4 linked regions of the Notamacropus eugenii genome follow. The protein of the gene in region 2 interacts with the protein of the main gene of each other region in a biochemical or structural test. Links are inferred from orthologs where the notes say so. Each region holds a gene or a part of one and is shown on either strand. Other genes may lie near its edges.

Region 1 (8,020 bases), on a different chromosome or scaffold from region 2:
GGAGGGAACAATAATGAAAAAAAAATCCATAAAACATTTTTTAGAAAAACCTCATTAGGTTGAGAAACAAAAATTGGCCTTTTGAAATGAGTACTTTGATATGAAAAGCAATCCATTCTATAGGTGCACATTTTGGAGCAAGGTAATGAAAGTGGGGAGGGGGGGAGGAGGGAAAGGGCATCAAAAAAAAAGAAAAAAGAAAGAAAGAAAGAAAGAAAGAAAGAAAGAAAGAAAGGAAGAAAGAAAGAAAGAAAGAAAGAAAGGAAGAAAGAAAGAAAGAAAAACACCAAAGATAAACTCAGTTGATCAAAGTTATTCCATATCATTGCAAACTACTGCCCATGTAGAAATCACCTAGGCAGTGCTGGAAAATAAAAAGAGATAAATACAACTCAAAAGTAATTAATCCAAGAAAAAAACAGCAGTTGAGTCTAGGTTATCTTTCTCATTCGACAACTTCATTGCTACCAAATACAATATAGAGATTTCGCTTATTAACATAATAATTTAATTAATGTAAATTCTTGTCTCTGTTACAATAGGCAGTCATTTCGGAGATCATTGGTTATATATTTACATTTTCAAGACAAATTCTAGAATAAGAAATGCTCGTATCATTACTCAAAGCTGCTTCTATTTGCAAAGCTTATAAGCAATGTTAATTAATTAATCCTTCTGTTACCCTTCCCTGCTCCAACTCAGAAGGAAAGACAATAGTGCTTCTGTGTGAAGAAATTGAAGGCAACAATTATGAACCAATGCTACTATTGGAATCAAATCCTCCCCAAAAGCTCCCTCCCTACTGTTTGGAGGGCAAGGTGGCTCCCATCACTGAGAAGGGCCCCTTCGTGAAGAGCTAAGTTTTTTCCTCCGGTTTTAAAGAGATTCACTTCTTTCTGGAATCCAAACACCCCATACATTTTCTGGACCCTAGACCTGGAAGCTAAATATAATGGGTTGGGGGGAGTGAGGAGTGAGGGTGCCTTAGCAACACACAGAGCCATTTGACCTAGTTCTCAGGCTTGAAGAGCCCAATAATTACAAGGTAAATGCAATCAATGTAGACAGACAATCTGGATAATTAAGGGAGAGGAATCTTTTCTTTGAAAAATAAAAAAAATACTTCCCCCCCCCCCCCAAACTCCCCAGTTGCAGGAATTATCTAGATAATTGCTTCAGCTGTCTGGATCCCTTTGCCTCAATGTAAACACAGAAGTACCTTTTTACTTTCTAGAAATCGATAAAGTGTGGCTGCAGGGAAAACAACATTCCCAGCGTGTGTGTCTGTGAGAGCCCCAAAGGAGGTTAAAGCCTCGAGCTTCTATGTAATCTTAATCTTGCGGAAAATGCGGTTTAGGAGCCAAGAAGGGGCAACTGGCATGGAAGGTGCCTATTCCTGTGGGGCCGATTTTCGGGTTCATACTTCAAACAAAGGGATCTAAGCCTTGGAGAGGCGGCGCTTTGACAAAGCGATAAATGCTTTGCAAGTGCAAAGTCCGCATAGAAGGGGAGAGTAGCTGGAGATGCCCGTGCCCAAGGAGGCTGCCCGAGGTTCTGCGTTGCCCAGAAGTTCCCGCAGTCTCCCCGCTCCTCCAGCAAAGGACCAGGGCTCCTTCTCGCAGCAAAGACCCCACGGCAGCCAGGAGAAAAGATCCTGCTTCCTCAAACGTCCCGGGGCGTGAGGGGGTGGGGTTGCGAGGCAGGCTGGGACTCCTCAAATAGATTTCTGTCCCGCTTTCCGAGGCCCAATGGCTCTTCTGGAAAGTTTCCCGCAACTGTTAGTGACTATGCCTGCAGTCCAGAACCTGAGTGTTGAGACGTACCTATCCCTCGCACACCACCCCCCACCCTCCGACCCTACCTGTCTTTGGTCTTAGGCGTCTCTTAAGTACCTGACTGCAGCAGTGGACTGGGAGTCAGATAAGCATCCCAGATCCGCTACTTCCTTCCTAGCTGTGCTTCCCAGGGCAAATGACTTCCCTGTTCTGGGCCTCAGTTTCCTTACTTATAAAATACAGGGTTTGGTTGGAGTAGATTGGAGACAGAGTGGCATCATTATAATTTGTAATCTGGAAGACCTGGGTTAGAATTACTGTTCTGACATTAGCTAGCACTGTGACCATAGCTTAGCCAGGTAATCTCTCTGAGCCTTTCTGTTTGTAAAATGAGTAGCACTTACCTCCTCACATGACTGTTAGGAGACTCAAATGAGAAGATATATATATAGATAGATATATAGTACTTTGAAAACTTCGAAGCGCTAAATAAAGGCCAGGTATTATTGTTAGTTGACGAGCCCCAAGGCCCCTTCCAGCTCTGGGCTTGTTTGCCAGGCTGTGCGTCCCCCTGCCACCTCTTAATCCTTTCCGGGCGCCAGGTTTTGACCAGATGAAACCTTAGCTTCTCGATTCTGCGACAGCAAAAGGCAAGATTGGTTTTGACTTGGTTTTCTCTCGCCTTCTTAAGAGGCCCCCATTCGCTGGCCTAGCCCCCGGCTTTTCCCTCCAGACTGACTCCCGCGTGCCCAGGGTTCCTTACCTGAAACCAGCAGGCTTTTCCCAATGAGCCACAAGAGGACCAGAAGCATTCGGGCGCTTTCCATTCTTTAGCTCTGGCAGGACGCAGGCTCCAGCATCCAGATGCTCCAGCGCCGGCTCCTGTCCTGGGGGCTTTCTTTCCCGGTTACTGGCTCGATGGGAGCCACTCCCCCGCCTCCAGTACCAGGAGCTGCCAGTCAGGGCGGGAGGGAGGGCGAAGGCGCCGGGTGCAGATGCCTCCGGCTTGTGCCCGGGCTGGTGCCCCTCACTGGCGCCAGAGGAAAGCACTGCTCACTTAGAGTGAAGACTCCTTGGCCCCCCAGAGAACTTGATCTGACTCAGGGAAGGATTCTGGGTTCGCGAAGGAGTACGAGTGATGGAAGAAGTAGAGAGAGGGAATGGACCGGCCTGACCCAGCTTTGCGTTCCTGGGGGCCTGCCCGGGAATCTGTGCTGGGTCAGCCCCTCCACCAACTCCTCTTGTGAGCACTTGGGGCGGAGCTGTCCTTTACAGTTGGCCAGACCCGCCCCGTCCCGCCCATTCCCACGCCTTGTTCCTCTACCTAGCCCAGGCTAAGATTTAACTGGACCTAATGGAGACCGGTCCCAGATAACTCCGTGCTTTCGGATAGGCCCAATGCAGAGTACATTTTCCAGTCTCTGATCCCTGCTTTGGCCTCCAAAAGGTGTCCCCGTTGCACTAACCAACAGATGAAGCAGGGGCATAGGGGAAAGTGCCCTGACTTAAGAGTTGGAGAGTCTGGCTATTTACCTGTGTGACTCCTAGCAAAGCCCTTCTCCTCTTGGTTTCAAAGCTAAAATGAGGATGATGGACTAGCTAATCTAAAATTCCCTCAGGTTTTAAATGTTTTCATTATTTTTTCTTAATGTATAAGGCATTGGATCTGGAGTCCCTGGGGATTCCTTTGGCTGCCTCTCCCTCTTGGAGACACTGAGGTGATAGGCACCGGGTGAGATGGTCTGAGTGGTTTCCATAAGTTGTGAATTAACACCTAGAATCCCTTGGCAATCTTCCCTATGTGAGTCCTAACTACTGTTCCTATGAGGTTAGGGAAGCCAAGAGAAATCTGGAGAAGGATAGTCTCTGCCTAGACTGGGAGGGTAAATTCATTCCAAGAGAGACATTTAAATACAGTAAGGGAGGACTTCCAAACTCATACAGGCACAGGAGGCATCCTAGCAAAGGAGCATCTCTGTGACTGGGGCTAGAGAGGGGAGGATGCCCACCTAGCTCAACCATAACTAAGATTGTGGCTGCAACTCAAATCAAGTTCCCATTATATGAGAGCCTTCATCCTACAATAATGAGCAGGGGGATCCTGCCTTGGATGAAGGCACCTCAGTTCTTAGAAATGCCCATTTCTGGGATGCCACCCCCTCTGCCAGGCATCGTTAGAAACTTGAAGTTTCTATAGAACCAACTATGCCCAAAATGCTTTCCTAGCATCTCCAGTATTTGCGTGGTTCAGGGTTCTGGTCTTCTCTGAATCCATCTCACCTACTTGCTGTCCACTTTGCGACTGAACCCAGATTTGGAAATAGTGATTTGATTCAGTCTGTGAGCCTCCTATCTTTCCTACCTTTCTGGGGCACAAGGGTGTTTTAGGTGGGAGGGGCAGAAAAGGATCTTTGAACACATTTCTTTTTGTTCCAGTTCCCTTCTTGCTGTCCTTGATTTTTATCCAGTTTCCTTCATAACTCAGGAATCACATCGAGCTTACGCTGAGCTCAGTTACAGAATCTGGCAAATTCCCAAGTTCCTTGCCTCCTTGGAAGATGTAGGCGTTTTATTTTTTTTTTCATCAGCGAGAGTGCCTACAAGATACTGGGGAAGCATACAGAAACTTCATCATACTATAAGTAGAACAATACAAATCCTAACACTTTAAAGAATTGCAATTAACCTCATGATTTAGATCCTATCCCTCCCCCCCAAGACTCTTCATCCCATCTTTGCCTGAATTAATCAGACAGTGGCATTGTAAGAAATGAGGTAAAGAAAGGGGGAAGAGGTCTTCTTACCTGATTATTTCCTGATATTTATTCAACCCTCCATTTGGCTGGCCCGATGCCTGAGGCACCTCTTTTTAAAAATGAATGAATCATTTTTATTTTTAAAAAGTTTTCCTTAAAGATAAAACTATTACCTTGCCCCATCCCAACACACACACACACACACACACACACACACACACACACACACCTACCCTAAATAAAATTTATGAAATTAAAACCGATAGATGATGAGTCAGATGAAGGAAGAACTAGGTGGACATGGCCCTGGGAGATGCTTTCCCTATCTCCTAAATAATTCTCACCTCCTGGTCCTAGTTATTCTCTCCCTTTCCACCACATGCCAATCAAAGACTGATAGAATTTGAAAACTTAAAGAAACCTTTGGGGTGGTTTAGGTCAGTGGTGACATTTGAAAACGAATAGTACATACATGTGAGAAATATTCTGCGCTCGTTCTGATGGTCTGTATGCTCTTATAGGGACACAGAGACTTCTTGCAATAATTCCTTGGTCCCCAAGGGGCCACGGTTCACTATCTGGGGAACACTAGTCTAGGCTAACCATTCCTCTTCCACTTTAGGGATGAATAAACAGGCTGGGAGAGATTCGCTAAATAATTTGCCCAAAGTCACACAGCAAGTTATGACAAAACTGAGTAGATATAGGTCTACTAACTTCCAGGCCAGGACCCCAGAAGTTCACACCATGCTGTTGCTCTCCACCATTTTTGTCCAGTCAAAGAAGTCAGCTCCTTTGCATATAAACCAGAAACTTCAGTCTCATGAAAATAGCCATTTTGAAAAAAGATGAAATAATGACTCCAATGATAGCAAGGCCAGAAATGCCAGGGATCACACTGAAGTTGTTCTGCCATACCCAGTGTCCCATATCACTTTAAAATGCCCAGTTTTCACCACTTTGAAAAAGTCTGAAAAAAAATGTTATCTTGTCAAACTTTGATTTTTCTACTTTTCTGTCCTTATTTAATGCACTGTTGTAATAGAGCGTAATAACAATGGCACATATACTTCAAATGGTTAACCATTGACCTCAAGTGACACTTGCTGAAAATATGAATTGATCATGATGGAGATGGTTCATTTCTACAATGCATCCATTCCTCCATGCTACTGCACATGCAGTCTCACCTTTTGTTATGTGAAAGAGGGCTTATTGGAGCAGAAAGGCATTGGATCCAAATGGAGGATAAGTGATTAAAATATGTTTTGTATAAATTACATGTAACATATGTTATATATGTTTCATAAATTTCATATAAACTATAAACAAATTTTGAGAATGGAAGGAGATGTTTTCCACAACTCTGGTTAGGGGGCAAATTCTTAACCAGAAAATAGACATGATCTTAAAAAACTAATAGACCATTTTGATTATATAAAATTGAGAACCCTTTACATAATAAATCAATGTAGCTAGAATAAGAAGAGATGCTGTTGACTAGGGGAAACCCTTGTAGAAATTCTTAAAGGTCTGATATATGATACGTAGAGAACCAATGGAAATATACTGTAAAAAGAGGCATTTCCTAATAGGTGAGTAGACAAAGGATATGAACAGGCAACTTTCTTTTTTAAAAATAAATTATTATTACAAGCATTTATTATCTCTCCTTCCAATAAAAGCAAAAAATTATTATAACAAATAGGCAGAGTTCAGCAAAATGCATTCTCACATTGGTCACACCCAAAAATGTATGTCTCATTCTACATTTTAAGTGTATGACCTCTCTCTCAAAAGGCAGGTAGCTTATTTCAGTTTTAGTCCTCTGGACTTCATCAGAGTTCTCAAATCTTTAGGAATTATTTTTTAAAAACATTGTTGTCATTGTATGAGTTGTTCTCTTGGTTCTGCTAACTTCATTCTGCATCAGTTCATAGAGATCTTCCAAGATGCTTCTGAAATTGCCCATTTTGTCATTTCTTACGGCACAAAGGTAGTCTATTACATTCACGTACATAACTTGTGTACCAGGTGGATATCTCTTTAGTTTCCAGTTCTTTGCTACTACATTAAAAGGTGCTACAATATTTTTATATGCATTGGTCCTTTTCTTCTTCCTTCGATCTTAGGTACAGTGAACAAGCAATTTTGAAAAGAAGAAATGCAAGCTATCAGTACATAGAAAGATGTTCCAAATCGCTAGTAATAAGGGAAATTCAAATGGAAGCAATGCTAAGGGTCAAGCTACACCTATCAGCTTAGCAAAGATAACTGATGAAAGTAGTAAATGCTGGAATTGTCAACTGGTTTAACATTGTGGAAAACAATTTGGAACTATGCTAGAAAAGTTATTAAACTGTATGTACCCTTTGACACAGTGAGACCACTACTGGCTACTCCTTTACAAAGGAGGTAAAAGTTCAATAGTTATTTTTTTATAGCAGCACTTTTTGTTGTTCCAAAAAAAAATGGAAATAAAATGGATGCCCATCATTAGAAGAACGGTTGAACAAATTGTAAATGGAATGGAATGTTATTTCATCAAGAAATAATGAATATAAAGAATTTAGACTAACTTGGAAAATCTTCCATTAACTAATATAGAGTAAAATAGGCAGCATCAAGAGAACAACTCAGACAATAACCTTAACATTGAAGAACTGAATGTTTGGAAACAGCATTGACTAAGCACTCAGTATAGACAAGGCATTGGTCTAAGCATAGGGAATACTAACTGAAAAGCAAGTCAGTTCCTGCTTTCAAGAAACTCACTCCTGTTCTAATGGGGAAGACAACACATAGAAGATATTTCAGCTACAAATCAGATGGAAAGCGCCTAGCTAAATGATGCAGTGGATAGAGTGCCAGACCCGGAGTCAGAAAGACCTGAGTTCGAATCCAGCCTCAGACACTTACTAAATATATGACCCGGGGCAAGTCACTTAACCCTGTTTGCCTCCATTTTCTCTTCTGTAAAATGAGCTGGAGAAGGAAATGGCAAACCAATATAGCATCTTTGCCAAGAAAATCCCAGATAGTCACGAAGAGTCGGACACTTCTGAAACAAGCCAACAAAGACATAGTCCTTAGAGTATATTGGACCCTGATTACTCTCCCTCATATTCAGTTCTGTTTTCATCATCATTATTTTGGATTCGACCAACAAGTATTTATTGCATGCCTCGTTTATAGCATATAGCTTATAGCTTAGCACATAGTTTATAGTTCAGCATATATTTATAATTTATATACTTAGGATACAAAGACAAAAATGTAACAGTCCCTGGCCTCCAGGAACTTAAATTCTATTGTGGAAAGTGATATATTCACAACCAGAAACTAAATATTCAGGCTTACTTACTTAAAAATCAGATGCCATCCAAGCTTTCTAGGATCACTGACATGAAGCATTATTCTAATATGATTTCTGTTAGTCTATTTTACCACTCCTCATCTTTTAGTCATTTTTTAAAAATTAAAAACTTA
Region 2 (7,016 bases):
TAGCTCTGCTACTTCACGAGCCACTGTAGGCTCCACCATATTACTCTATAGTACAATAATTCATGTTCCAAAAGTCCCTGAAAAACCAAATATTAAAAGGGATCTGTGATCTGGTCATCATGGGTTTTCCCTCCAACAACACAAATCACAACTGATCTACCCCTGCCCATCCTATAGGACTTTTGTCCCTGCCCTATGTTTGCCATGGCTGGGGTTGGGGATGGGGTGGAGGTGTGAGGACAGGCTCAGCTATACCCAACCTGCTACAATTTGACATCACAAAGATACCAGTGGAACTCAAGGGCTGTCTATCACTTATCCCCACTTATAATATAACTAACTCAGCTTTTCTTTGGTGACCCTTTACTTGTGGTATCTGGCAGCCATGTTTATCCCTCATATGCCTCTTCAGGTTATTTTCAGTTTCAGTTCTTTGGCAGAGTAATGTTCTATGGTTTTCAAACATACATCAGTACATACATCAGTTTAATATTGGTATTAAAAAGATGAACTTATGTTCCAGGGAGAAGTTGTAGGGCAGAACATAGACAAGGAACTAGAGAATAGACTTTGGTCTCTAAACGGGTAAATTTGATGCCTAAACGATACTCCCTCAGAGAAGTGCTTGATCACAAAGAGAGCAGCAAATGTGGGCAAGAATGGAGTGGCAAGAACTCAGGCTAAGGTCTCTGGAGAAAATGTCAAATACCTCAAAAGTATTATGTGCTGCTATCTACTTCTCTCACTTTTCACCCCCTTGGAGTTGGTATTTGCCCAATCATTCCATAAAAATTGCTTTCTCATATATTTTCCTTTGGATGCATAATCAGTTAAACCAATGATTTTTTCTGTGGATTTTCTGTTCTGCCCTGCCATATTTGACTTTATTGCAAGGCCAACATTTTGTCAGTTTCTTATTTGCTTATTATTCTGCCTGCTTGACTTAGCCTTATTCCACAAGTAAAGGGGATGTCTCATATCTCTCTCTATTCCAAGGCACACTGTTGTTTGGCACGTCCGCTGGAAGAAAGTACACTTTGGGGGCTGCTAAATAAGCAATCCCTTTTCCATCAGTCCTGCGTGGTACAAATAACTCATTGGTTTTACTCTCCAAGTAGAATGCTATTCAGGTAAGTGGGTAATACTCTTTTTTTCCCTCTAAGAGTACAGTTTTAGGAAATGCCCTAAGCACTGAGTCCTAAATTAAAATTTTGAGAACTCTTATTCTTTGGCTAGAAAGTTAGATTTTGAAATTACATAGTCAGTCTGGAGAATTCCTTCCTTTCTTCCACTTTCACCTGCCACACAGGGGCCTAGGGTTGATGAACATTGTCCATGAACTGCACTTTTGTTTTGAGTAAGCACACTAGTCTGCTTTTACCCTGTGCTTCTACAGAAAATCTATCAGTATGCTGATTGCTGTCACCTTGGGTTGAGAATCTTGCCTTTCAGGATCTCTTCTTTCCAGCTACCAGCAAGAATATACAACTTGTCTCTTTCCCAAGACAGTCATTTTTAGTTCCTGGATACATACAGAAAATAGTTTTCCTCCCCCTAGGACTATATCTGTACACTAACCTATTTCTAGATGGGAGAAAAAGAATGCCTGAAAGAGTGAGCTGTTGGGTCTGTCAGTTCTTTTTTTTTTTTTTAAATTATTATTGTTATTATTTGTCCGTAGATTCTGGAGGGGCCCAATGACATCACAGGGTGATGACCTGACTGGTACTTTAATTGGATTTAAGTGAGGCAGAACTGATAGAGGACAAAGACCAGAAGCTTCTTCTACAAAAATTAGTCTTTTTACATTCCAGATGGCCAATCATCTTGGCAGCAGCTTTAGGTACTGGGTCTAGTTCTGAGTCCCTTAAGTAAGGTACTAGTGGGTATGCCTACATTCTCCATGGAGAGGTTCTACTAAGAGTCCTCTAAAGGCTCATGCCTTGAAATTTTATCAAGTTGTTGAGTTGGGGAAACGTCCAGTGGATCAGTGACTATTAATCACCTCACCCCACATACTCATGCTTTAATTCACCTATTTTGTAAATTTATACATCAATATGCCTGTAAATATTAATCAATATCTATATGTCCTGTCAGTGTTAGGCCTGGGTTTGCTTCAGGTGGAATTATTTTGTTTTAGGGTAGAACCAAATTCCAAAATGAAGCTTTTCCAGAATTAAAAACCACATTCAACACTAGCTAGCCCCCCCAAAAAATTCCTGTAACTCTGACTTCCTGTAATTTACCTATTTCCACCACATAGATATTTCACAAGCTTGGCTTTGGGCCAGAACTGTAAGCTTTGAGAGGTCATGAGTCAGGTCTGGTCTCCCAGAACTAGAAGGCTAGTTCCCATGGCAAGATCTTGTCTAATTTCGGGAACAGAGGCCTGAATTTTGCAGGCAAGATGATGAGTTCTGGACAAGGAGTGGGAAAGGCCTTAGGCAGGTAGACCAAGGGATGTCAAAGCACTCAGCAGCCTGCTCACAAGCTGAGTTCCAGTGGATAGCAATCCTTTGGATACAGGACAGATCTATGAGGTTTGGGGAGTATCTAGCCCCCCTAAACCTCAGTTCGCAGGGTTCTGGTAAAACCTTTCTCTGTGTCTGTGATTAACCCCTTGCTGCTAGGTAAAAGTGACATGGTCGCCATCTTGTGAACAAATCCCAAGTCAGACTCCCTAAGCTTCTCACAGTAACCAAGGTGACAGTGCACTTCCGCTACCCAGAAACTGAAAAACTACATTTCCCATGAGTCCCTTTTCCAACTCCAGGTAGGTGGACTTCCTCGGACCAATTCTCGTAGGGAAATAGCAGAGCTGGCCTAGCGCAGGGATTGGCGGGTGTCTCAGTTCCCTTCGTTGCCCCGCCCTATACTGCTTTCAGGCCGAGAACTACATATCCCGTGAGCCCGCGGGCCCGCGCTTGCGCGCGGCTGAGCCGGTTCTCCCTTGCCCCCCTGCCGGCGCCGGGAGAGGTAGGGAGAGGGCGGGGGGAAGGAAGAGGAGGCGGGATCCGGGAGCTGCGCTGGCTGCGGCCTGGCACGAAGGGGGCGGCCCTGGCGGAGCAGTGAGACCCAGCGGCCCCCGGTGACTATGGACCCGGCCGAGGCGGTGCTGCAGGAGAAGGCGCTCAAGTTTATGGTGAGGAGAAGGCGCGGGCCGGGGAGCAGCGGCGTTGGCGGCGGCGGCGGGAGTAGCAGCCGCGTCGTTCTTGGCTGCGGCTTGGGCCTGGGCCGCTTGTCTGGAGAGGGGGACAGCGAGTTTGGGGTCCGGGGGCGGCGGCGGCCGCGGGGGCGGCGGAGGCCGGAAGGGTCCGGGCAGGCTGGGAGCTGGGGGCCTGGGCCCGGGGGGTCGGGAGTAGCAGCTCCGCCATCTTGTGGAGGAGAGTCCCAGTGACAGCGGGGTCCCGACGGAGGGGGGCTGCCCGTGGCGCGCGGGGCGACGGAGGGGAAGGACAGAGCGGGCCAGTTCCTGGGGAAATGGAAGGTTGCGGAGGCGAGGGCGGGCGGGGGCCGTTGTCTGTCCCGCCGCGCGGGCGGCTCTCGGCCGCTGCGGGGGCGGACAGGTATTTGGGGGCCGAGTGCGGGAAGGGCCGGACGCAGTGGGGCTGCGGGGAGGAAGCCGGGCTCCCGGGGCTGGGGCGAGAGGCCACTAGAGACGAGGGCACCGGGACTGGGGAGGCCTGAGCCAGCCTAAGAGGAGACGAGGGGACGAGCAAGATTCTCCTACTTTGGAACGGACGGGGGGTTAATATTGTAACAGAACAAGTTGATGGTCTCCAAGTATTGACCAGAACAAGGTCAGGGGCAGGGGAAGAGTTTAGAGGCCACTAAGGTTAGGGGCAAATGCCTACTCGTGGGAGGAAAGGCAAGGAAGGTTAAGGCAGTCTCGGAAAGGACTGGGTCGTGGAGAGTCTCCCTAAGTGTCGCCGAGTGAATTAGTGACATGGGAGTGCGGGAGTGGAGAGGGGTTGGGAGACACTGAAGAGAAAGCAGTGGGACGGTGGAATGGGAAAAGTGATGCTAGATCTCTGTACTCATTAGAGAGTGTGAGATATTGTTACATTTTTCTGTAACTTTGTATCATGCTATACTTGTGTTTTGCTAGTGTCTGGTCAGTTTTGAGTAAGTTTAGCATTTGAGGCTTTTAATCTGATTGCCCTTGGCTTTCCCACATACAAAACTTCAGTGATGTCATCAGACTCTGTAGTTACTGCTAGCGAGTGATAATGAAAAAGAATACACATAGACTTTATCTGAGTTTACCAGTTGGTCTTTAGGAAATCAATACTATTTGCATAAGTTTCCAATTTCTTCAGAGTTGAATTTGGAATAATGACAGCCCCTAACCCCATTCTTTGAATGAATGGTTGGTATTTCCAGTGTTGCCTGGAATACAGTAACAACTGCAAACTAAAATAGCTACTGAGTTAATATTAGGTCAAAACAATCTAGATGTTTTGTTTCCAAGAATGAATTCTAAGTGATTTGTATCATTTGGTGGAAGTTCATTTGATGGGAATTAATGTTTTTACGGACCAGAATTAAAAATTTATTAAGAATATAGAAATCAGTTGTTTGAAGTGTCTCTTTGAATTGCTACCCAAAGTTTGAATACTGTATCAGGTATAAAAATCTTTGATTTAGGAGGTAGCATAGGGTAGTGAAAAGAACATTGTATTTACAGTTAGAGGATGTGGAAGTCCTGGCTCTTCTAACTTACTACCTGTTTGACTTTGGGCAATCTTGACCTCAGTTTTCCCATCTGTTTACAGAGAAAGGGTTGGACTAGAATGAACTCCCAGCCCACTTTTGATTCTAAATCTATGAGCCTATGATGCTTTATTTTTATTTTACAAGGCAGGAATTATTCATATACACATATGGACAGCTTCTAGTCTTTAAAGATGGTAGTCACTTAGTTTCTATTTTCTCCTTAGAGGATAGAATTTTTCTATCAACTTAAGACATTTTTACCAGATTTATGGAATAATATAATTTACAGATCACAAACACATATTATGAGATCATCTACTTTAGGCAGCAGTGCAAGAACATTCTTTACTACTTGGTCTCAGTTCTATACCAAGGAGTTACTTATGTTTGAGTTGTGCCACCTGAGTTAAATTAAACTTATAAATCTGAACTAGATTGACCATATCTTACTTTATACCTGTCAGAGTACCTTATAATATTAAGATTGAGTCACTTCCTATAGGGATAATAAAGCTCTATAGACAAGGACTCAGCTTCTGATGCCTTTCTTTTGGCACTACCAGCCATAGCTTTTGTCTGAAAGGAAGCCCAAGTAGTCACCAAGAGAGAAAACAGAGACATATTTTAAATGCTAGAGCAGAGGACTGAGATCTAGATATTTAGTGTTCCAGTTGAACAGTCTTTTACATGAATTTGGGTAAGTCAACTCTTTGACCTCATTTCCCTATTTATGAGATCTTTGTTTACTTGTGTTAACTTTTGAGGTCTTTTAATGACTCTGTGTTTACAAAATCTTGAAGAATGTGAGTATACTAGATATGAACTTAATCACCAATGTTCTGCTTACTAGAATTAGAGGAATCATTCCATAGGAGAGTTATTAAAAGACCTTACTTTAAATTCTTGCTCTGTTATGTACTGTGGAATGGTGGGCTAGAGCTTTGAGCCTCACTGACTTTGTAAAATAGAGAACTAGACTAAATCTCTAAGGTGTCTTCCAGCTCAGAAATCCTATAGTTTCTGTGGTTTCACTTTAACTTTGAGTGATGTGCAGTGCTTGGCAAAAAGTAGGTGCTTAATAAATACTTGTTGGCTTGAGGGGAGGGCAATTTTAGCACAGATGAAAGACAATTTCACACTATGTTAGCTAAGAAATTTGTTACCCCAAAAGAACTCAAATACAAATAGATTCAAGAAATGTTTAGATAAATTTATGGGTGATCTATAACATTATTTAGAATGCATTAGTAAATGTTTGGAGGACACTTGTAACCTTGTGAAGTTAAGACCAAGAATGATAACCACTTTATTCCACAAAACATCTCTGATGGCCCCATCAGAATGTTGGTTTGGGTCTATTTGGGGCATTATTTGAATTCAGTCAGACTGTTCTTATTCTTCCTTGTTATCTCCTGCATGGTGCTTATTTACGTCGACCAACTCAGCTGACTGAAGGATGTTCATAGACATTGACAGGGATAGGGGCTAGCATTTACATAGTACTTTAAAACTTGCCGAGTGCTTTACAAACATCATCTGATCTAATTCTCGTTACAGTCCTGGGGGATGGTGTAGTGCTATTATTATTTCTGTTTTACAGGTGAAGAAACTGACCCAGACAAGTGTTAAGTGCCTTGTTTAGGATTACACAACTAGTAAGGATCTGAAGCTAGATTTGAATTTGGGTCTTCCTGACTCTAAGTCCAACACTCTATCCACAGAGCTGCCTAGTAGTCTCAAATACTCTTCCCTGGGTAATCAGTACGCAAAAAGAACCTCTTTTTAACTAAAATTTATTTACAATATCTAGGGTTATTCTCTCCTCCTTCATTCCTTTCCTCAAGTTATGAATTATTTCAGACCACTTTTGCACAGATTTTGTAGTTTGCGTATTTTAATAGTTAAATTTTTCCCCCCAAATAAAAATGAAATTGGTATTTTTGTACAAACTTTAAACTATGAACATAGTTTAGAGAAGATTAATTACAGTAAAACTTTATCTGTACTCCTGATTTTATATTGGTTGTGCTTTATCTGAGATCTAGGCTAAGGTTTAACTTTGCTCCCTTTATGTAAGAGGGTTTGCCAGAGATGAATAATGTAAAGTTAACCTACTTAAGGAAACATTATTTTAAAGCACGTTAGAAGTACTAGATTATACCAAACTAATAATGATTTTATTAGGAGTCATTATTTATTGATCACAGCAGATTCCCCAGGTACTTTTGCCCACAATTTGTTAGGGGGGAAAAAGATCCCTCACAGAAATATATAAGGAGGCTAGAAAAGATACAAAG
Region 3 (7,117 bases), on a different chromosome or scaffold from region 2:
AAACCAAGAATGTACATGAGGAGTGTGTGCATGTGAATAAAATAAGGGAATGTAGTGTGTTTCTATACGAGACAGGGGAACTTAGTGTGATGTGCGTCTAAGAGAGAGGGGAACCATGTGTATATATGGGTGTATGTAAAAGATAGAGGAATTCTAGGACATATAAATGCTGGAAAAATCTAGTCTTTGTATATAATACATAGGACAACCTATTCTCTGTGTACATGTGCTATGTGTAAGAAATGATGAAATTGCTGGTGTGTTTGTATGTAAAAGATGGAAGTATCTATCTTGCCTGTGTGTGCATGTGTGTAAGAGATGAGAGAATCCATCCTGTGTGCATATAAGATGGGAGATCTATCATGCATGTGTGTAAGAGATGGGAGAATCTATTCTGTATGTGCATGTAAGGGAAAATATCATGCAAGTGTGAAAGAGATAAGACAATCTATTGTGTGCTTGTGTAAGAGATGAGAGATCATGCATGCGTGTATAAGAAATGAGAATCTATCATGTGTGTGCATGTAGAAATCTATTCTATATATGAGATAAAGATGAAAATATATTGCATGTATGGAGAATCTAGCATGTATGTATGTGAGACTAACATATACAAAAGAACATATTATAAGGGAAAGGTAGACACATAACATAATTGTTTATGTTGTATATATGTGGATTCTATCAGGTACGTATGTGTGTTGTTGTGTCTAGGGAGAATCAATCACCTGGGTGGATAGAAAATCTATCTTGTGTATGTTGGAGAATACCATGTACATGAGGGCCTATGTATATCTGGGAAAAATCTATTGAGTGTGTGTATAGATGGGAGACTATCATCTTTCTTTTGTGGGAGAATCTTCTTTTGTGTGAACATGAATAAGATGTGAAAATCTATTACAATGCTTGTGAAAGAGACAGGAGAATCTATCATGGAGTAGGCACGTGTGTCTCTACAGTAGTACGTATATGTAGACTGTCATGTGAGAATGTGCTATATATACACACGTGTAAATGTGTGAGAATTTATTCTTTGTGTGTTCATATATATGGGAAAGATTTGGCCTGCATGTGTGTGGGAGGGGGGAAAGGGAGAAAAAGAATCTACCTTGCCTGTGTCTGCAAGTGTGTTATAGAATCCAGTCTCCATAAACACAAAAGAGAAGATAATCTATCTTGTATATATGTATGTATGTATGTATATGTATATAAACATATATGTATAAATAGAGAAGGGAGGTTTAATCAACCCTTCACAGGAAAGAAATGCTAAGAATCTACCATAGGAGGATAAAATAAAAAAGAATGGGAACCAATCATCATGTGTGGTGTGTGTAAAAGAAGGTGGGAAACTATATATATATATATAGGGACAGGGTAAAAAGGCAGAAGAACCTGCCATTGGGTGAAATGGGAAATCTACAAAGGAGGGGATAAGAGATGGGGAAATCTATCATGAGGAGTGGTGGTAAGAGATGGGGGAACCCACCTGGTGGGGAGATAGAGAATCTACTATGGGGGAGAATAAGAGACGGGGAATCTTCCTTGGGGGTAACAGATGTGAGAATCTACTGTGGAAGGTAATACATGGGGAAACCTACCATGAGGAAGGGGGCAAGAGATGGAGAATCTACCATGGTGGGGGGAGATGGGGGAACCTTACCATATGCGGGGAAAGAGATGGAGAATCTATTACGGGGGAGGACAAAAGATGGGGGAACTTACCATGGAGGTGGGATAAGAGATGGAGAATCTGGGAGAAGGGTAATAGACTGGGGAATCTACCATGGGAGGGGTAAGAGATGGGGAGTCTATCATGGGGCAGGATAATAGATGAGGAATCGGGGGGGTGGGGGTAATCGATGGGGAATCTAGCATGGCACGGGGGGCAGAGCTGGGGAACCTACCACGGCGTGGGGGGGAGGCAAAGGAACCCCACGGGGTGGCCGGGTTCTCCGGGGCCTGGCTCCCATGTAAGAAGTCGGGCTGCTCCCTGCCTTACCTTGAAGTAGCCGCCCTCGTAGTAGGTGTTGGGGGGCCCGAAGATGGCCACCTCCCAGTTGTACAGGTCGCCCTCGTCCACCAGGGTCACCCGGAAGCCCTCGACCGGCTCCTCCTGCAGCCCCTTGAGCTCCAGGAGCAGCGCCTTCTGCGAGCTGGGCACCAGCGGCCGGGCCATGGCGCAGGAGGCGGAGGCAGTGGCAGCGGCAGCGGCAGCGGCAGCAGCGGGAGTCAGGGAGGCGGCGGCAGCGGTGGCGGCGGCGGCGGGGGCCGAGGTCGAGGGGCCGGGCTGGGCCGCGTCGGGGGAACTAGGCCGCACGGCCGCCCCGGACTCGCGTGACGGGCCGGGCCGAACTCTCTGGGCAGGGGGGGAGGAGGAGCCGCCGCCGCCACTGCCGGGAGCCGCCGCCTCCGAGCCCTGAACCCCCGAGCGCTCCACTCGTTCTGGATCCCCGCTCCCCCCCCAGCCCAGCCCAGCCCGGCCCCCCGCTCCGCCTTCTCCTCCCCCTGCCTCGCCCTCCCTTCAGCCCGCCCTCAGCCGCCGCCTCCTCCTTCTTCTACTTCCCCTTCCCCTTGTCTTCAGGCCGCTGCCCGCGCGGGGCACGCCGGGAACTGTGGTCCGCTCCGGCCCGCCGGCGGCGGGGCGCCTGCGCCGGGCTGCCCGCCTGTCTGCCTGCCCGCCCTCCCGCTCTGCCTGTCTAGCCCTCCTGCTCTCCTGACTATTTCTGCCCGCGCCTGCGCCTGCGCCTGCGCCTGCGCCACCCCGTCGGCTACCGCGAGCCCGTTCCCCCCCCTCCCGACCGGCCTATCCTAGGGGGAGAGGAGAGGGGGGCCGAGCGCGCAAGCGCGCCTCAGCCGCGATTGGGTTTCGCCCCCAGGCCGAGGCCGCAGCCGCCCCAGCCGGGACTACAACCCCCAGACACCTCTGCTGGGGGGGGAACGCAGGGACGGGGGGCTGCTGGGATGGGTAGGCGTTGGAGCCCGTGGCGGCCCGTGTGGTTGGGTTTGTTGTTTTGTTTTGTTTTGTGTTTTTTTTGTGACGTCCTTCACCCCCTCACCTGAATTGGTGAGGGCGGGGCTCGGGTAGTAGGCGAGTAGGGACGGGGCACAGGGAAGCGGGTCAGCTCAGCTGGGCCGGACCCTGGGCCCATCCGACCCAACAAACTTTTTTTTTTAAAGAATTTATTATGAAGGAACAGGGCGTGTTTGTCCGGGAGAGGAGAAGGCCGGGGCTGGAGATTTTGCAAGGCTTGAGGCAGCCGCCGAGTCCAGCTTGGCCCTGGAGGTCGGCTCTCGAGGCAGCAGACCTGCCAGGGCCGGGGGCGGGCCGGGGAGGGGGTCCGGGGGGGAGGAGTAGTGGTGGGAGGGGGGGGTGGCCCCCGCCAGTAGAGAGCTCCCCGTCCCTAAGAGGCTTCCAGAGAAGCCGCGCGGTGCTGCACGCGCGCAGTAGGGGGTCCCGGTTCAGACCGAGCCCAGGCTAGGTCTAGGTCCCCGCCAGCCTCCGCCCGAAGGCTGAGCCTGGTTAAGGACTGGGCTGGGGTGAGGACGAGCCACCCTCCTCCAGCCCTCCGGCCCAGCTGAGAAGCATGCCCCGCAGCCCGCACGCGGGACGCACGCACGCGCGATTCCGTGCGGTGACTCGGGCGCCCGAGGCTGCTGGAGGACAGGCTTTTGTGCTGTTGTCTCGGGCTGCCCAGCGCGGGGCCTGCCCGGCACGTAGCAGGCGTGCAATTGGAATGGGGCTGTTTGCTTTGGCAGCGGGCGCTCGCTCGAGGAGGACGTGCCAGGGTGCCCTTGGTTTCTGGGCTGGGACACACATCCGGAAGGATGCGTGCAGGGGAGGGGGGGCGGGGCTGTGCCCAAGCATTCTTGTCCTTGGTGCCTGTTGACCCACTGCTGAGGACTTCGCTCCAGTGCTGATGACCCCTCTCTCTATAAAGTATCAGTCATCAGTGCTTCCCCCAGTGTAAAAGGGCCTTTGCTGTAGCACTGATGAGGTCTCATGCACTGCAGTGTGAACTCCCTTTCATTTTATTTTTATGCCCCCTTGAACGGGGGAGATGCCAGCACTGCCAAAACAGGTCTTCAGAGCGGGTCAGCCAAGACAGGCTGGTAATACCCACTACATGTGGCAAAATAAACAAGCCGTCCCTCTGCCCTAGCGCAGTGCATTCAGGCAGAGGGAATGAAGCCACTGTTTGTGGGTCCCTTCCTCCCTTTGGGCCTCAGATCAGCATGGTCTGGGTGTGGAGAGGACACAAGCCTTAGAATCAGCAGAGACTTGGATTGGAACCCCACTTGCCAATGAGTTGTATCACCGTGGTTGTCCAAGGGACTAAACTTTTCTGAGTCTCAGTCTGTGAAATAGGGATAATGAAATCCATAGTACTTATCTCACAGGGTTATCTAAAGGATCATATAATACGTAGAAATATGTCCACCTTAATGGCCTGTACAAATGACAATTATTGTTTCCTCTTCTGTAAAATGAGGTAGTTGGTTTCTAAGGTCCCTTCCATCCTGAACACCCTTGGTTCTGCAAATAAATGCAACAAACTCTTTTATCCAAAAGAAAGAGGGGATGATCCTCCCTCCTTGGGGGTCTTCAAGCAAAGGCTGGAAGAGGCCTTACTGGGTTTGCTAGAGAGAGAATTAATGCTTCTGCCTGAGTTAAACTAGTTGGTGCCTTCCAGCTGAGATTCTGAGATTCAGTACCTGGCCAGTATAGGGGGAAAGACAAAACAGAGACAAGAGGTGACTGATGAATCATCTTTCTCCTGCCCTTGGAAACTTACAGCCTCGGCACCTTGCACATGAACATGGTAAGATTACGTGAGAGGGCAAGAGGTAAATAACCTCAAGACAAGAAGGGAGGAATTGTCACAAAGCCGGATATGATTCACTGGAAGATGAACTTGGTGGTGGTGTAGGAGTTCAGGAAGGGGGAAATCAAGGAAGGCTCAGCAAAGGAGGTGGTTTTCAGCTGGGCCTAGAGGGATTTGGATAGGTTGAGCATGTGGGAAGGCAGTGGAGGAACATTCTGAGAAAGAGGAAGGGGAGATTGTCTAGAGGTGGACAGCGTGTTTTAGAGGCTGGTAATAAACCAGTCTGACTGGAACAGGAAGATTCCTCAGAGGGAGGCAGGGGAAGATAAGTTGGGTAGATGGGTTTTTTTTATTGTTTGTTTGTTTGTTTTTAATAAGGCAGTTGGGAGCTATTGAAGGTGTCTGAATAGAAGAGGGACATGTTTTGAGAAAATATTTCTGGATCTATGAAGAATGACTTGGAGGGACAGAGATCAGAAGCAGGGAGGCCAGTAGTTCATAATGAGAGAGGATGAGGAGAAGGGTATTTATAAAATGCATACTATGTACCAGGCACTATGCTAGGCACTTTAAAAATATTATCTTATTTCTCAATGGGTGGGGAGGGATGGGAGGGAAGGAAAGAATTTGGAATTTTTAAAAATTGTTTAAATGAATGTTAAAAATAATATTTCTAAAAGAGACATTTGATCTCACAACAATTCATTTCATCCTCATAACAATTCTGTAAGGTAGGTACTATTTTTATCCTCAGTTTTTCTGACTCTTCATGACCCCATTTGGGGTTTTCCTGGCAGAGATACTGGAGTGGTTTGCCATTTCCTTCTTCAGCTCATTTTACAGAGGAGGAAACTGAGGCAAACAGGGTTAAGTGACTTGTCCAGGGTCACACAGCTAGTGAGTGTCTGAGGCTGGATTTGAACTCAGGAAGATGAGTCTTCCTGATTCTAGACCCAATACAATGTCTACTGTTCACTACCTAGCTGTCCATTTTACAGATGAGGAAACTGAAGCAGACAGAGGTGATGTAACTTGCCCAGAGTCACACCTAATTGAGCTCAAATTTGAACTCCGGTCTTCTTGCCTCAAGGTCCAGTGCTCTAATAACCTATGATGATCTAGCCCCTTCCATGCATTATTTCAATTGGTCCTCAAGATAGTCCATGAAGCCTGTATTGCAAGTTATCCTTATTTTATAGAGAAGGAAACTGAAACTCAGCAAAGTTAAATGGCTGGCCTAAGGTCACACAGGTAGTAAGTGTCAAGAGGCAGAATTTGAACTCAGATCTTTCTGACTCCCAAGTCTAGCACTCCAGCTACTATGTCACATTGTCTTTTGAGAGGAGAAGTGTTGAGGGTTTGGAATCAGCAGGACTTGGTGATGGATGAGATGTGAAGAAGAAGAAGAAAGAGGGGGCAAGCTTGGGTGAATGCAGTGGCTGGAATAGAAATAAGCACGTTAGGAGGAAGAGCTGAATTTGGATTTTAGACAATGATTGAAGGGGCCAGTAAGAAGGCAGAGCTGTGCAAGATGTAGTTAAAGCATGCAGGAATGTAGCTCTGGATAGAGGCAGGAGCTGGTTGGGCCACAGCTCTGTGTCACCCAATATAGGGGATAGTTAAAAATAAGGGAGATTGTAAAGGGAAAAGGACCCATATGGACCAAAATATTTATAGCAGCCCTTTTCGTTGTGGCAAAAAATTGAAAGTTCAGGGGATATCCATGAATTGAGAAATGGCTGAACAAATTGTGGTATACGAAGGTAATGGAATACTACTGTTCCATAAGAAATGGTGAGCAGGTAGATTTCAGAAAATTCTGGAAAGACTTACAAGAACGGATGCTGAGTGAAGTGAGCAGAACCTGGAGAACGTTGTACACAGTCATAGCAACATCGTGTGATGACCACGTTTGATAGACTTCACTCTTCTCAGCAACATACTGATCTAAGACAATTCCAAAAGACTCTTGATGGAAAATGCTACCGACATCCAGAGAAAGAACTCTGGAGTCTGAATGCAGACTATTCTCTCCCTTTTTAAATTTTTTCTTTCTTTTGGATTTTCCTTTTTGTTCTGATTCTTCTTTCACAATATATCTAACATGGAAATGTGTTTAATACGGTCATACCTCTATCAGATTGCTCATTGCCTTAGGGAGTGGAGAGGAGAGAGGAAGAAGAAAAAAATTTGGAACTCAAAATCTTATGAAAGTGATGTTGAAAACCATCTTTACATGTAATTGGAAGAAATAAAATACTACTAAGTGGGGAAAGTACTAAAAAGAGTAA
Region 4 (7,020 bases), on a different chromosome or scaffold from region 2:
CTGTTTGCACTCTCTACCTGTGCCATCAATCTTAACACATATTACACTGTGCATATCAACAGATACTGATAAACACTTTTAAATATTTATACTGCAGTAAGATAGTGCTTTTTCAAACTTTACTCCACTTAACCCCTTACTGTGGTAGAAATGAGGCTTAGAGAGAGAAGGAAACATTGATTTAACTTGATTTATATTTCTTTCCCAATGTCAGCCAACCAACCAGAAACTGACCATTTTTATTCCCTTATTTTTTCAAAAGAACAACTTTGTAAGGAAAAATCTATCTAGTTATTCAGAAAAAAGAGTACTTGATCTAAAAGTCAAAGAAATTAATAGATCATACCTTAGGACTTAAACTTTAAAATAAGAACTAAGAAATAGACCTACTGTGATGTCTTATTTTAAATGTACATGCTTCTTCTAAAACTGAACATTACAACAACATAGGAGATTCCTAAGCAAATTAGAAATTAGATTCTAAACATTCAAGTTCAAAACGAAATTTAAAAAGGCATGTATTTTGCAGCAAGCAGAAAATAGATAAAACTGAACACTTGCTGAGATGCACTGAGAAGGCTTTTAAAAGTACTGTATATAATATCCTAAAAGTCTTAGTATAATTTTAAATGATTAAAGCTTGAAAGCTAATAACCATTTATTAAGCATCAACTTTGCACCATGCACTGTGCTAAGAGCTATATACAAAGTAAAGCCTGCTCTCAAGGAGTTCACAATCTAATGGGAGGAGATTACCTGAAAATAGCTATGTACAAATAAGCTATAAACAGAATAAACTGGAGATAATGTACAGAGGGAAGGCACTAGAACTAAGGTTGACTGATAGAGTCTTCTTATGGAAATGGTGTGATTTTAGCTGGCATTTAAATGCACAGAGGGAAGCCAGGAGGCAGGAGATGAGGAGGGAGAGAATTCTAGATAAGGGGGACAGGCAGTGAACATGCCTAGATTCTGGGTATGGAGTCTTCTTGTAGGAACAGCAAGGAGACCACTATCATCGATCCAAATGTATCTGGAGGATATAAGATAACAGAAGACTAGAAAGTGCATGGAGCCAGAAGGTCTTTGCCCTCCAAATTTCACTAAAACTTTTGGGACACTATACTAAAATTGCTCTGTCATTTGCTAACTTTGTTTCCTTGGATGAGTCACTTAACCTTGGTTTCCTCGGCTGGAAAATGATGAGTAGACCAGATGATCTTTAAGGTCTCTTCCAGCTCTATATGATCTGTTTTTTTAGATCAAGGAGAAGGCACTTATTCTCTTAACCAATCAACAAGGATTTATTAAGAGCCACTATGTGGCAAGCACTGTGCTATCCACCCTATAGACAAAAACAAAACATAAAACAATTTCTGATCTGGAGGAAGAATGACACGAAACCACGATGGATAGAAATGTGCAAATTACTTTTTAGCTCTAAAGTCAAATCAAAGCTTTTCTTTAAAAAAGTCAATCAGCTCTGACGCTGACTTCCAGTGTCCTTGGCTCACTTCTGCAACCAAGGCCAACTGCGAGGCACGGAGTTCCTTGAAATACTCTTTATTCATTCAATCTTGAAACACCTCACCAGGAATTAAAATTCACTACAAACGTCACAGAAGTATTCGAAGGAGCAGGTGCACACACTTCCAACCAGTATCTCTAATCTTGTCCCTATACTAAATTGATTGTCTAAGGGGATGGTCACGAGAGCCGACATACGGCCACTGCCGAGCTCCATTTTAAAAACTCTCTTACAATGAGCAGACCATTCTAAATAAAAACTCTTGTGTCTCTGAGACTTGGGGGAAAGGCAGAAAAGAAGCTTTAATTAGGCAAGACGAAGGAAAGGAACAGTGCAGTGGCAGTCAGGTAAGGTGCAACGTGCATTCTAGTCCCTAGCTATTCAACTAATTAGCTTGGGCACACTTCGTGCCTCCGTTTCCTCATCTGTAAAACCAGATGATTGGACTAGATTTTCTTTCAGGTCCTTTCCAACGTTCATGTTAGGTGAATCTCTAGTGGAATCTCTTTGTATCCCTACCCTCTCTGCATGTCAGGCCCGGGAGATCCTCCTATTCTTGCTGCAGAACTGGAAGGAATAGGGGGTGGGGGTTGGAGGGGGCGAGGGGAGAACCGGCAGCTCTGCCCGACCCACGACGCTCGGGTTGGCAGCGAGAACCCCGGCACCACTTCTGGGCTGCCTGCCATGCTTTCTTCTCCCCAGTCTCAGCAGCTACGGAAAACCGAGAGGAAACCTCATATAGAAGAGCTCGATCAGATCCGCCCCGCCCTGGCAGGGAAGCTGCTGGGGAATATGGGGATATGGAGAGGGTGTGTGGACCCGCACCCCGGCCCCGAAAGAGCTAGCCCTCTCGGCCCCTCGGCCTTTGCCAGCCGCGCGAATCCGCAACAGCTGTCAAATCCAGTCCGAGGAAAAGCAGCCTTGCCGGGTCTGGCTGGGAAAGAGGAACGCCGGGAGCTCTCTGCGCCTCCAGCCTGAGCCGCGGAGAGAAAAACGGGGAACCAGCGGCGGCAGCCACCGCCCCGTGAGCCCGCAGCACGCCGGGTCGGAGCCGGAGCCGGAGCCGGAGCCGGAGCCGGAGCCGGGCGAGCCCAGGCAGAGCAGCCGCAGCGCAGCGCAGCGCAGCGCAGTGCAGAGCGCGGGGCTTGGGCAGGGGAGCCAGGCGCGGAGCAGCAGCCGCCTAGAGCATCGCAGCCACTGTCCCTTACCGTAGCTGCTCCCCGGTGACCAGGATCTCTGCCATGTGCTCCAGCTCCCTTTGCTGCAAGCCTCCGCTGACCGTGCCACCGCCGCCAGTGCCGCCTGTGCCCGAGCCCGTGCCGGTGCCCGTGCCCGTGCCCGTGCCGCTGCTACTGCCGCCCTCCTCCTCCATCCTCGCGAGCTGCTCACTCTTCTCTCCCCGCTGTAGGCTCGCCCGGGTGTTAAGAATCAGCCAGCCCTTACAGAAGCCCCAGCCGCCATCTCTGTTGGGGGCAACCTCGGGACTCGTGTGTGATTGGGGAGAGCTCAGTGAATCCCTCCCTCCCTGCGGAGAAAGGGTGGGGCCGCAGACCAGGGGGCGGCGCTGTGGGGGTGGTCAGGGCCCGCGTGGCCCTTCTGGGCGGGACCAGAGGGAAAACATAAACACGAGGCCGGTGTCCAGTAGGGAACTTGAGGGCAGCTTGTGGCCAAGAAGTGGCTGTAGACTCGTGGCCCCGAGGTTTCTCTCCAGAGCTCTAGCTGGGTGGCCCTTCGTGTGGGTCATTAGTTGTTTGGACTGAGTGTCCAAACGGTCAGACATTGTTAACATCGCTGTTGTTTATTACCGTTGTTAACCTAAATTAGGAAAGGGTAGGAGAAATGTCCTACTGGCTTAGTAATAAACTGGACTGGACAGAGAGAGGACATTATTCATGCCATTGCAAGTCTGGTAGAAACTAAAAAGGCAATCTTCCTATGCATATTGCAGAATTCATGTCCTTCTAAAAGTCTTCCTCTATTCCAGGGGTTCCTAAACTTGAAGTCTGAGACCTATTAATATATACATATATACACATATATGTATATATTAATATATAAAAGTATTTATATATGTATATTTATACAATCTGTATTTCAAAAAAAATTGTTTTCCTTTTAAACATGTGTATTGCATTTTATGTATTAAAAACATTCTGAGGAGTCCATGAGTTTCATCAAACTGCTAAGGGGATCTATATGACACACACAAAAAGTTAAGAACCTTCATTGCAGTGCAACACCTCATTTCACAGATGAGGAAACAGGATAATGTATTAAAATGGAAGGAGGGTTGCATTTTAAAATGAGGAAGACAGGTTTAATTATCTGTTCAGATCCTTACCAGCTGTGTGAACCTGGCTAAATCTCAGCCTTGGTTTCTTCATGAACCACGGTATAATCAACCTAAATGATTTGCCAAAGGTCACACTTATAGTGAGGGGGATTTGAACTTAGGTCTTTTGACTCCAAAGCCAATGGTCTTTCAGCCATTCCAGGCTGTCTCTCCTTATTTCTCTCAAGTCCGAGTCAGAGCTATACATGATATGCATGGGTGGGAAACTTGCAGCCTGGAGGCCACATGTGGCCTTTTAGGTCCTTGGGTGTGGCCTTTTGACTGAATCCAGGTTTTATAGAACAAATCCTTTTATTAAGGGGATTTGTTCTGTGAAGTTTGGATGTAGTCAGTAAATCACACTTGAAGACCTAGAGGGCCACATGTAGTCTCTAGGCTGCAGGTTCCCCAAGCCAGGATAGGGCAACCTGGGTCTTCCCCTCCATGGCACTAAAATAGACAGAGTGCTGATGACACTTCTGTTTCTTCAGCAAATAGAAACAACTAAGTCTGGTATCTAGTATTTACAGATAGCCAAATGCCCAAGTGGATGTTATTTCATCAATTCAGAAATTCCCTGCAGCCCATCCTGTGTAACTTTTATCATGTCCTCCTGTAATTCCTACACAAGGGGTCCACCCAACATGCTGGAGACCTTTCTCAAAATCTCATCTGACATTGTGAGGATACCAGAGGAGCACTCTAGCTCCTATATATCACTCTAGCTCCTCATATATCATTTTCATTCTTACCACATGATTGGCCCCTTTTCTCTGCCTGTTGTACAGTTCCTTTGTTCTTCTTTGGAGGTCTTCTTTGGTTACATGTTGCAGCCTGCTCACCCCTACCATATGCCTTTCCATTTTCCTCTGTATGATCTTCATTTTTAATACTTTGAAGACCATTGTATTCCAGATCTTGCTGCCAAATATCAATACCAGTAGAATGTTAGCATTAAGAAAATGGACCTTTGCTTTCATGGGAAGCTTAGTTTCTGAAAAGGGGCTTTACAGTTTTTCCCAAGGCAATTCAGCCTCTTCTACCCCTCTTCAACTCTGGGAGTAGCTAGTCTTCAGGCTGTTCCAGACAAAGTTTTCCATCTGCTTTGCAGATATTCCTATGAATTTCTAGACTTTTACATAGCTCTTATTTTGTACTGTAGTCAGGTCCCAAACTAGACTATTGGACTTGTAGCATGAAAATGTGAGTTAATATCCCATCTCTGAAACTGTTTGGGAAACAATGAGTTGCTTATCATCCCTGTGCCTCAGACAACTCCTGGTGACCAATCTCCTGAGACTGCCATAAATGGAGAGATTTCTCACATCAGATTTTCAAAAATTCACACACTAGGATCCATGTGAACAGGGAACATGTCTATTCTAAACTTTGCATCTCCCCATGTATCTAGCACAGCAGTCTAGACACAATGCTAAATGTCTCTTGATTTGATTTCTACATATATAGGTTTTATCTTCAGTTAATCACACATTTAACAAATATTTATAGGGCTTCTGCTAGGCACCAGGCATTGTGCTAGATGCTGGGAATTCAAATATAAAGAATGAAAGAATGTGTATTATAAAAAATGCAACATAATTAAATGCAATTGACTTAGGAAGAAAGGACACTAACATTTCAGGACCAAGAAAGGCTTTGACTAGAAGGCAGCTCTAGAATAGTGTCTTGAAGAAAAAGAGGGATCCTATTTGCTGTACTTATCTTCTCTATTCAATCAGTTCCAGTAGGGAAAGGATAATGTCTTATTTGACTTTATATCTATCGACTTTCCCATCATGCCTTGCGTAGTGCTTCATACACAGCAGGAGCTGAGGAGATCTAGGTTTTAGTCAAAGCTCCGACACAGTGAAAGATAAGACAAATTGCTTCATCCTGTAAACTGGTTGTCTCTTTCAAATGTACATTTTGAATGTACACACAATATTATATATTGTATTTATGTATATAAAGACAAGGAGTTGATGAATTCTTAAAGCTCCTTTTAGCTCAAAGAGCTATGAAACTATTCTTTGCATGCTAGATCCTACAACAAAACTATCTCTGACTTCCTTGGTTCAAGAACTATGTCTAATCAGTGGTCCTCAGAAAGACATACATAGCAAGCTTTTGAAATTGGAGCACATTCATACAACAGACTACTTGTAAGTTCCACTTAAGAATGAATGAATTCTGTGCAAACTAATCTCAGGCAACTTTGAAGTTTAAATGATTATTCCTAATTTGGAAGGTGTGATTGTCTTAAGTTCTTTCTGTACTGCTCCTGTTTTTTGATTATTCAGAGTATTCATGTTGAAAGTTTATAGAATGAATGAAGGAATGAAAAGGCATTTGTTAAATAATTACTGGGTCCAAAGCACTCTGGGAATACAAACAGAAAAGACTACTTTCAAGAAGCTCCTTTCAAATGGGGAATGCAACATATACAGAAGTCACCTACAAGTCACCTATGAGGAAAGAACCTATGGTCTGGAGGGTATAGGGACAATATAGGTGGCAAAGCATTTTCTTCATTTTCATTTCCACTGATAAAGTGCCAAGGACTTTAGTGCTGGCTTCTTTTCCCCTTGAATCTTCAGCAGTTGCCAGGTCACCCCGAAGTTACCTCCTGGCCTGATAGCTGCAGACTAGATATCCAGGCAAAAGGTGAGAGGAATATTATCAGTCCCCAGAAATTCTCTGGACCACATTATTTCATTTTGAAAACCAGTTAGAAATATTTACTTAAGCATGCAAGATACATGACTATAGAACCATATCTTAAAAATCTCTAGGCAGGACTCTATTCTGGAATTTCATACTAGATGGACCTAGAAATAAAATGTTAATTAGTTGAAGCACAGGTAAACAAAGACTAGGAGACGGGAATGGGAATGCATACAGCTCTCATGTTCCGAAACGTCATAAATATGTAGAATGTACAAGCCTAGAGAACAGGCTTCAGAATGGCTTCATGTTTTGTCTTTGTATTTTGAGTGCTTAACATATTATAGGTACTTAATAAATACTTATTAATTAGCTGATTGAATCATAGACTATCCAGCTACAAGAGACTTAAAAAAAACACCAGAACTAACCCTATCATTTTACAAATCATGAAAGTGAGACTCAGAGTCAACAAATGACTTGCCTGAGATCACAC

Evidence for each region. The genes of interacting proteins can lie anywhere in the genome.
Region 1: the proteins of BTRC (region 2) and KDR form a complex in vitro, tested with the Homo sapiens proteins (2 studies listed by BioGRID, with this or other methods). The link is inferred for Notamacropus eugenii from reciprocal best matches to the Homo sapiens genes BTRC and KDR.
Region 3: the proteins of BTRC (region 2) and CDC34 form a complex in vitro, tested with the Homo sapiens proteins (4 studies listed by BioGRID and IntAct, with this or other methods). The link is inferred for Notamacropus eugenii from reciprocal best matches to the Homo sapiens genes BTRC and CDC34.
Region 4: of the proteins of BTRC (region 2) and DEPTOR, one has a biochemical effect on the other in vitro, tested with the Homo sapiens proteins (3 studies listed by BioGRID, with this or other methods). The link is inferred for Notamacropus eugenii from reciprocal best matches to the Homo sapiens genes BTRC and DEPTOR.

The regions. Positions count from the first base shown.
Region 1 is NC_092877.1:106,551,849-106,559,868, forward strand, and holds the start of KDR (vascular endothelial growth factor receptor 2), read right to left. Parts: upstream 3,021-8,020; 5' UTR 2,603-3,020; coding exon 2,539-2,602; intron 1-2,538. UniProt on the Homo sapiens protein: Tyrosine-protein kinase that acts as a cell-surface receptor for VEGFA, VEGFC and VEGFD. Plays an essential role in the regulation of angiogenesis, vascular development, vascular permeability, and embryonic hematopoiesis.
Region 2 is NC_092872.1:179,423,721-179,430,736, forward strand, and holds the start of BTRC (F-box/WD repeat-containing protein 1A), read left to right. Parts: upstream 1-3,998; 5' UTR 3,999-5,406; coding exon 5,407-5,416; intron 5,417-7,016. UniProt on the Homo sapiens protein: Substrate recognition component of a SCF (SKP1-CUL1-F-box protein) E3 ubiquitin-protein ligase complex which mediates the ubiquitination and subsequent proteasomal degradation of target proteins. Recognizes and binds to phosphorylated target proteins.
Region 3 is NC_092875.1:69,196,993-69,204,109, reverse strand, and holds the start of CDC34 (ubiquitin-conjugating enzyme E2 R1), read right to left. Parts: upstream 3,021-7,117; 5' UTR 2,180-3,020; coding exon 2,003-2,179; intron 1-2,002. UniProt on the Homo sapiens protein: E2 ubiquitin-conjugating enzyme that accepts ubiquitin from an E1 ubiquitin-activating protein, and catalyzes its covalent attachment to other proteins by an E3 ubiquitin-protein ligase complex. In vitro catalyzes 'Lys-48'-linked polyubiquitination.
Region 4 is NC_092875.1:125,303,569-125,310,588, forward strand, and holds the start of DEPTOR (DEP domain-containing mTOR-interacting protein), read right to left. Parts: upstream 3,021-7,020; 5' UTR 2,901-3,020; coding exon 2,737-2,900; intron 1-2,736. UniProt on the Homo sapiens protein: Negative regulator of the mTORC1 and mTORC2 complexes: inhibits the protein kinase activity of MTOR, thereby inactivating both complexes. DEPTOR inhibits mTORC1 and mTORC2 to induce autophagy.